2 linked regions of the Kluyveromyces lactis genome follow. The protein of the gene in region 1 interacts with the protein of each later gene in a pairwise test. Links are inferred from orthologs where the notes say so. Each region holds a gene or a part of one and is shown on either strand. Other genes may lie near its edges.

Region 1 (4,452 bases):
TGATAAACATATCACAAACGTCTTACGATGTAGTGTCCTCCATCGTATCTCCAATGAAGGCCCAAAGAACCGGGACTATTCAGGTGCCCGCAACGAGAACTACTACCTTTCAAGACCAACAACAACAGAATCAGCAACAAGCTTCAAAACCTGCTAATGTCGTCAAGATATATGTTGATAGCAATAGGGACTCTAATGACGTTTTCGCCAGTGTTAAGGGGGAGGTAGATACGCAAGAGCAAGAAAGTTTGTCTACTTTAACTACTTCTATGTTGCATGATGATAATAACGAAATTGTTATAGATAGCGAAGATGAAAGAGGTAGCTATTCCATTATGGAGGTTCATGATGCTCCTCAAACTCATCTTGGCCAGTTCCCCTCTCTACGGAAATCTCAATCTCAAAAATTGAAAACCCCAGTTTCAGCCACAGATTCTCTAGATTCACAACTTCAGCCTGCCCTACTCACAACACAAAATGCATCTCCGAACACCGCGAAGCTACGAAGGTCTTTCAAGGTGATCGGATTAAAACCTTGTAAGAACAAAGTTCAGATGTTGCAAGTATGGGAGACATTGGAATCCAAATTCCCGGGGTCCTCAGATGAGGATAGATCAATTCAACTCAAGCAATTCCTCACGGACCTTATAGTACAAAATCGTGATGAATCTGCATTATTAATGGAACAAATATACACTTTTGAGCCTATTCGTTACGAACAGTTGAAAGAATGGCTAGTATCCTTGAACTCATTCACTGAACTAATCGACGATAGTTTTATCAAAAATTGGGCAGATTTAAACGGGATTGTATTCAGAAATGATACTGAGAACCCCTTGTTGTCACAAAGCCAATCTCAATCTCAATCACGGTTGCTCTCACAATCATTATCCCAACTGCAGTCGCCATCATTGTCTCCATAGTATGTTAGCATCCATGTGTATAATTATCAGCATTTTTTTTTCAATAGAAGCCCAAATACATGGCGTCAAAGGAACATAATAGACTCTCAATGAATACATTGGTCTGACTGCCTATTCAAAACATATACCGAATGTGAGCAAGGCTCTATCAAAGCAAGACAAGGCGAGTCAATAGCTGCATTGTTTATTGAGAAATCCGGGTAACGTTATGCAGTCAAAACAGCTCATCAAAAATTGTCAGTTTCTTTCAGATCGAACGATTCTATAAACAAAACAAACAAAACATAATCGAAAAGGAAATTGGAATCTACGCTCAGTAATCTTTGAAGCATATAGCACTGAAGTCCTTAAACTTTAGCACTGTCCTTCGGTTTTTATTCAGAACGGCAACAATTGAGTGATTTCGGGCAATTTGGAGAAGTGCGCCCCAGAAGCGACAGTAAAATCCCAGGAAATATGTCAGGAAAGGGATCTTCGCAGTCTGATAAACGGTCCAGCCGAGATGAATTGAAGTTTAAATTGAACAGGTTGCAGGAACAACAAAAACATCAAGAAGCTCTTTCTCATGTTAATTCTGAGGACCCCAGTTTACCATTTTCCAATGTCTTGAGTAAGAGAGATAATAGGGCTTCGTTACCTGTTTTTGCAGGAAGCTCTGCTCATGCAGGTGTCATAAATGCCAATTCAGGCGAGGATGTGAACTTTGTTGTTGGTTTAAGCGAGAACTTACTCGTCGAATGCAGACGCTTACAAGCACAGAACGAACGTAAGTCCGCCAAATTATCCTCTTTGCAGGCCGACTATGAAAAGTTGAAAATAAATCTTGAGCGGTTAACAGTGAAGCATGAATCTATGACCAAAAATGAGGATTCTTTAAAGGACACTAATTGGCGACAAGAAATGAAATTGCAAAGTTTATCTAAGGAGTTCCAAGAGTTGACTGAAAACTTCAATAAAAATAAAAGTGAACTTGAAAGGCAGATTGAGCTTTCTAAGGATATGAAAACTGAACTGGAGGAAAGTTCTTTGGAACGTATGGGATTAAAGTCCGAATTGGCTTCTAGTAAAAAAGTTCATTCGAATGAAATTAAGGAGCTGAAAAGACATGTGGAAGAGTTGAACAATGAGAATGATCAGCTGCATAATAAAGTTAACATGTTGAGTGAGAAGGTCACTTCATTAACAAAAGAAATAGAAGAGAGGAAAGGCACCTCTGCACAGGGCAAAGACGATACTGCGATTGCTACATCAGAACAAAAACCATCACCTGCCGTAAAACTGATCGGAGGAGGTATGGAGGGTTCCGATGATAGTTCCTTGAAGAAACCGATTGATTCAAATCTAGAAAATCAGACCTTAAAAGCCAACTTAAATCATGCTAATCAGTTAATTGTAAGATTAAAGCAGAAGCTCAACAGAGTCAAGGCTGACAGCACCATGAACTCTCCATTACCTTCAAAGTCTCCCAGAGGTAAGAATAAAGGCGGTTTATCTTTTATAGGATCTGCTTCTACTCCTCAAAAGTCCAATACTTCCAGCTTCAATTACGAAGTTACAGATAATGAATCAGGTGACTGGAATGTAATACCATCGCCTGGCAAGTCAAGTAATGCTGATATCAGTGATATTGACGCTGAAAGTTTTGTTTCGGAAACTATGGACTATGTGAGAGACCCCATTTCGGAGGGCCCCTTTGAACATGATGAAGACTTTATTAATGAACTTGACTATGAAGATATAGAAAGATACGCAAAAACGCACAATTTCGCACTTGTCCCAATTACTGAACTAGATGAATTAAAAAAATCGAAAACTCCTAGCACAATCTCAGATGACACATTATCAAAGCATATTCTTTCCAGACTTTCTACGCTAGGGTATTTTGATACTTCTAGTTTAACAAATAATGAGAAAGTGGATATAGAAGAGATTTTTAAGCATCCCACTGAGGATTATCTAGTTTCGAATCTGAAGAGGCTCAACCTCACTGCTATCAAAGAAGAAGAGTACCAATCATTGAATGATCCATCGATGGAAACTTTGAAAAAATCATTAGAAAGTAAAGACTACACTGCGTTAAGTAAAAAGGACTATGAGAATTTGCTTCATGCTTCCGAAAGTCCGTCCCTGTCATATCTCGAGAGTAAGGCTCACAAGCTTCAAAAAACCATTATCGACATTGATGAGTATGAAAATTTGAGGAAACCGGATGTTGAGGCATTAACAAACCATGCCCAGTCCAGAGGACTTCAGGTATTGAAACAGTCACAATTGACTGATATAAAAGCTAAATTGGAAAGCCCGTCTGAAGAATATTTGCAGGCCAAAGCAGATGCAAAAGGATTAACTGTACTAACGAAGAGTAAATTGTCCCAACTCACTGAACCAAGTATCGAAGACGTCCAACAGTTAGCTACCACTCACGACCATATTTTAATATCTAACAAAGATTACCATGAGCTACTGAATCCTTCTATCGATAAAGTGGAAAAAATTGCTGCAAATCACAAACTCTCGGTAATACCTGATAAGGATCTAATTGATCTGAAATGCAAAGCTGAAAGTCCAGATATTAATAGGTTGAAAGAATGTGCTAAGTCAAAAGATCATGTTCTTCTTCCAAATGAGGAGCACACCAGACTAATGCATGGAAACACTCATCCTTCAATTGAAGCTATTCAATCATCGCTTTCTAGTGACGATATGGAGTCTTTATTGCTGTGGTTGGCGGAAAGAAAGTCCATAACACCTATACGCACCACTGAGTATCACAAATTAACAGAACTAGCTAATACTCCTCCACTGGATCATCTAAAGAAAGCTGCCAAAGCTTTAGATTACACCTTGCTCAGTCAAGCTGAAATAGAGAACCTAAGAAACTTAGCTCAAAATCCTCCCTTTGAACACCTGAAAGATAAACTACTAGCTCTCAATTATACTATTATCAAACAGGAGGACCTTCATAAGTTGAAGGAACAGCTAGAATCTCCAACTTTGAACTTTTTATCGGAAAAGGCAGCAGAGAAAAACTATGATATAATCCTAAAGACTGACCACTCAGAGCTTTTGAGAAAGTCATCAGACCCGACCATCCAAGAAATGCAGCACTTGGCAGCTGTAACTGGCCACTTGATTGTATCGCAGAGTGACTACGATTATTTGAATAAGACCGTAAATGAACCATCAAGAAACTTCATCATTGAAAAGGCAAAGGATATCGGTATGGTTACTATCGAACAGAAAGAGTATGAAAAGTTAGTTCATAAGGGCAGTGATAAAACAATGTTACTCGAATCTATTAAGAATTTTGGATTTGTTCCAGTCACTGCGCCAGATTTCAATTCCTTTAAACAAAAGTCAATCGACAATGTTGACATCGACCAATTAACTAACAGATTGGAAACATTGGGTTACGTTGCAGTTTCAAAAGAAGGATACTCAAAATTAATGGCTCCCGTTATAGATAAAGTAACTAAAGATGAAACTTTTAAACTCTGTGACAAATACAATCTAAAGCCTGTTGCTGCTG
Region 2 (4,449 bases), on another chromosome or scaffold:
GTTAGTCTTAATTAAACCACCAACTAGAAGGGTTTTCCCTTCGTCCGCAAACTGCATTTGTCTTATATCGCCAGTGATTGAATCATTTAAGAAGCTAGTCCATTCTTTAGTTTGGTAGTTATATAGACACAAGTCATTGCAATTGTCTATCTCGTATGATCCACCGACTAGAATACTATTATTAGAACTAAAAGAAACCATAGAATTTACACGTTCATTGGTTGAAAAGTTAACTCGAGCAACGTTTTCGTAACCGGTCAAGTTCAGTATGCTAAATTGAACATCATATTGGCTTGAAGAATTGCTTCCATTGGTACCAATAGCCAAAATATTCGGTACATTATCATATAAAAAGGCGTTAATTGGAGCAGACCATTGAATCTGTAGCATATGCGAGGAGGAATTTGTGTTGGTAATTAATACCCTATGTTGAACATTGTCAGTTGAGCCTTCTTGTAAGGCATAAGCAGCTGAAGTATCATTAATATACGCCGCCTTGTAAGGTTGAACATCTGTTGGTAGCTCAGGTAAAGTAGGTGATGATACTTGTCCATCAGATGACAGGGATGCCAGTCCATTGAGTTCACCGACAGACCTTTTCAAAAAGGAGCCAAATAATAAAGAGTCGTTACCAGAATTAATCCCAGCCGACTGTCCAGTTATTTCAAACGTGGAGGAGTTGGAAACATACATATTTGCAGACACGTTGAAAATATAGGCGTTGTCGAAGAGCAAAAGCTCATGCCCATCAATGGTAAAGTTCACGATCCTGTCGATGGGCTCATCTAATTGGCCAAAGCTATTGAAGGCATTACCATCATAGCTCAAAATTTCATGCCGACTGTCATTCTCTACTTGGTAGGTACCCGATAATAATAAACCATTTGAGTACTCAAAGATACCAGTAGTATATCCAGACGTTCCTAGTTTTTGAGAGGAAGAAATCAATGCTTCATCGTTGAGTTCCACTTTAGCAATCCCATTGAAATTGCCTCCGATCAAAATATCGTTATTCAAGGAGGCAGCATAAAGATTGGCATCGAGCGGGAAATTATAAAGAGCATAATCATTAAATGTATCATTCGTGCTGAAAATTGATGCTGTCACATTTGCAGTGTTGTATTGGAACAAACCGTTGAGATGAAAGGTTGTATCATTGCTGCTGATACTTATGGTGTCAATATACTCAGTAATAACACCCAAGCGGTCAACCACCATGACTGAATCGCTTTCACCAATCGCTTTATCCCAGGTTACAATTATTTCCGGTGCGCTTCCTAATGAACCTGTATACAGAGGGTCGAATTTATCCTCATTGTTGGTCTGATAAATCAATACACTGGCCAGCACTTCATTTATAGAACGATCAATCATAGTGACATTTACGATACCTCTTTTAGAGCAAGAATTGTCTTGTAGACAGCCTGGTGTGTAGATATTGAAAGTGTATCTTCCTGGATAAGTAATGTTGGGGTGGAAGGTGACATAAGGGATATTATCGTCGATGTTAGTTGATATATAGGTATCAGATTCGTCAGTGGTGTACCAGTTATCAGAGGATAGCTCTGCCTTTGAATATTCCGTAACTGATTCGCAGTTTGGTTCATTATAACTATTATTGGCGTACACCATAAATTCCGTTTCGAATATCTCAATAGAATGCAACGCGGCATTACTTCCATAGGACGCTAGAGCTACAAACTGTAACATGGTAACAGGTATGTCATTAACAAAAGCAAACTCCTGATAGGATTCTGACCATTTCAAATTGGTACTATTGTTATTGATGCCCACTGACTTTGGAGCTGCAGTGGAGTTTTGGCTTATCTGTGTCAAATCTTCTATCGATAGTAATGGACACCATGCATCGCACTGTTTCAGCTCTCCTGATGCAGGATCCAAATACGTCAAATTCATGATACCATTGGAAGGACCGGTAATAATTCTGAACAGGGAAATTTCAGAATTTTCTTCCACAGAATTATATATTCTTACCTTGGATGGGTGGATCTCATTTTTCAAATCGAATTGCAAAGTGGATTGAACGGCTTCAGATGCAGACCAACCATTTTGCCCACCAGAGGGACACAGAAGAATATCTGATTGAACATTTTCTCCGGTGATAGATGAAAGTTTCAAAGGTACTGATTGATCGAATTGTAGGGACGTCAAATCTTCATGAGATGAATTGGTCGCATTGCCAAACTCTTGTAAAAGCGATGCGTTTTGAATCTCTTGGAAACTACCAGCGAACAATATATTATCGGAGTTTAATTTCACGACTGAATTAACGATTGAATTTTCACCAAATCCTTTGAAAGGAAATAATTCAGTGGTGTTTGCGACAACATCCCATAATACAGCCCCATGTCCTGTCTCGTTGGAGACTGACATAGAAAAGTTACCAACAAATATGACAGTTTCATTGACGGTCAGAATGTCCATTACATTCTCGACTGCACTAGGGAATATTGGTGATGTGGTCAAGCTGGTTAAATTTAATAATATTTGCTGTTCCAAAGCAACTCCATTAATTTGACCTGTTCCCGACAAAATGAATGAATCCTCAAACAAAGGAACAATCATGGTTACAGTGGTCTCTGGCGATGTTTCAAACAATTTAACAAATGTATCATTGCTATAGTATAATAATGACGACTCATTGGCTTGAACAGTGAAATTTTGTTGGCCTGTATAGGATATCACTGTCAGTTCCTCAAAATTATTCATGTACGTCAAATCAGGGGAATCCCAATTGGGTGCCTCATAACGTGAGATATTCAACAACTTTTCAATGTTTGACAGCTGACTGCCTCTTACCATTCCAGCCAGGACGAGCAACACATATATCAGGGGATTTATTGAGAACATTGTTTGGATCAGTGAAGACTTTGATGTATTTCAAAAATAGAAGGAATGACGGAAGTTGGTTTTAATGAGAGATTAGATCAAGTTGTGCAAAATCAAACAGCAAAGAACAATGTTAATGGTAAGACAGAATGAATGACGTTATTAGGAGAGTCAAGTACCAAAAAACTAAATCAATGAAGAGAATCCTCCAAGGAACACTTAACTGATATCTTACAGGCAGGAATTAAAGCAATATGATAAAAACAATTGATACACTATTTGTTACCATGCACTAACCAGATTTAAGGGAAGAGGAAAAGCTGCACGAATAAAGGCCTTTTTTGATTGCTTCTCTCGTATCTGTTAAATGAGATCAATTAAAGCCTAATTGGAAAATTCGAAATCAGTATATTAGACCAAATATTTGTTGTGACTCTTTTAAACAGTGAACAGTAATTGACCAGCACACTAACTTGTTCGACTAACCAGTAGAGTTATCAAAAAAGGATTAAGATCAATCGAAAATCAAGGACGCTACAGGTCTGCTTCTAAAGATATCAAAATGATGGAGTGCTAAGATTTTACATATAATTATTACTTTTCAACTAAACCTACCAAAAATTAAAAAAAAACAAAATGGTAATGAATCAATACAAATTGGCATTGTCTTTTTCATGGACCAAAAGGTTAATTCTTTTGAATAACTACTCCCGCACGAAAAAAAATTCATATAGATGAGAACTAGCCAAAAACAAATAAGGTATTATTTCTTCAATGGTACAACTTCACAACTTTGATTGTGTGTTTGTCTCAGAAAATTATTTGTAAATGACATTGTTTACTTAGCCTAATCCTGGGTCTCGTCCTAAATTCCCCATTTGTTTGCCTTTTTCGTTGTTGAAACGAAAGGCTTCTATTCAAATAAAAACTGAAATCACTTTCCACGGATGTAAACAAGATAAGAAAGAAACGACTCCACTGTCAAAAACAACATTATTTCCTCATTAGGCAAAAGCAAATCAACAAGGGTAGGTCATGTGGGATGCTTGTAGGGTAATGCTTTGGGTGCAAGACCCTCCAGCACCTCGGGAATTCATAGAAGTAGCTTTTACGTACGCATTTTCCTTTTCAGCTTGTCAGTAAGAAGTTATATAAAGAGTAATAGCTTTGGTAAACCTTTCAACTCATAAATGCAAGTAGGTTCACACAGGACAAGCCATAGTCATGTACATAAATTGAGTTAATCTGGGAATTAAAATCATCATCTCGATTCTCAATTTTTGGATTACCTCTCTTTAGAGCTAATTAATCCCCTTTTTACTGTTTGTGGAGACAAAAAGTAGATTTGTTAAGTAGGAATTTCATGTGCGCTCGCTTCTTCTGATCCTAAATTGAGTTGTAACTCTATTTAGGCTTTTATTACATCATATATAGTGCATATTTTGGTTTGTTTTTTCCGGCCGTTGCGCTGGTCGACGTCAGAAAAATACGAAGGAACCTTAGGCTGTGGCCGTTCCAGCATACAGGAGAATGGCATATACGGAGCATCCTACTGTCTACTATTTGCTGCACATTTTGCGTACTGGGCATTTTAAGGTT

The links.
Region 2: the proteins of NUM1 (region 1) and RAX2 interact in a protein complementation assay, tested with the Saccharomyces cerevisiae proteins (2 studies listed by BioGRID). The link is inferred for Kluyveromyces lactis from reciprocal best matches to the Saccharomyces cerevisiae genes NUM1 and RAX2.

The regions. Positions count from the first base shown.
Region 1 is NC_006040.1:1,398,534-1,402,985, forward strand, and holds the start of NUM1 (Num1p), read left to right. Parts: upstream 1-1,379; coding exon 1,380-4,452. Other genes in the region: SLX4 (Slx4p), read left to right, coding at 1-923. UniProt on the Saccharomyces cerevisiae protein: Controls nuclear migration. NUM1 specifically controls the interaction of the bud neck cytoskeleton with the pre-divisional G2 nucleus. Functions in dynein-anchoring.
Region 2 is NC_006042.1:1,740,275-1,744,723, forward strand, and holds the start of RAX2 (Rax2p), read right to left. Parts: upstream 2,872-4,449; coding exon 1-2,871. UniProt on the Saccharomyces cerevisiae protein: Required for the maintenance of the bipolar budding pattern. Involved in selecting bud sites at both the distal and proximal poles of daughter cells as well as near previously used division sites on mother cells.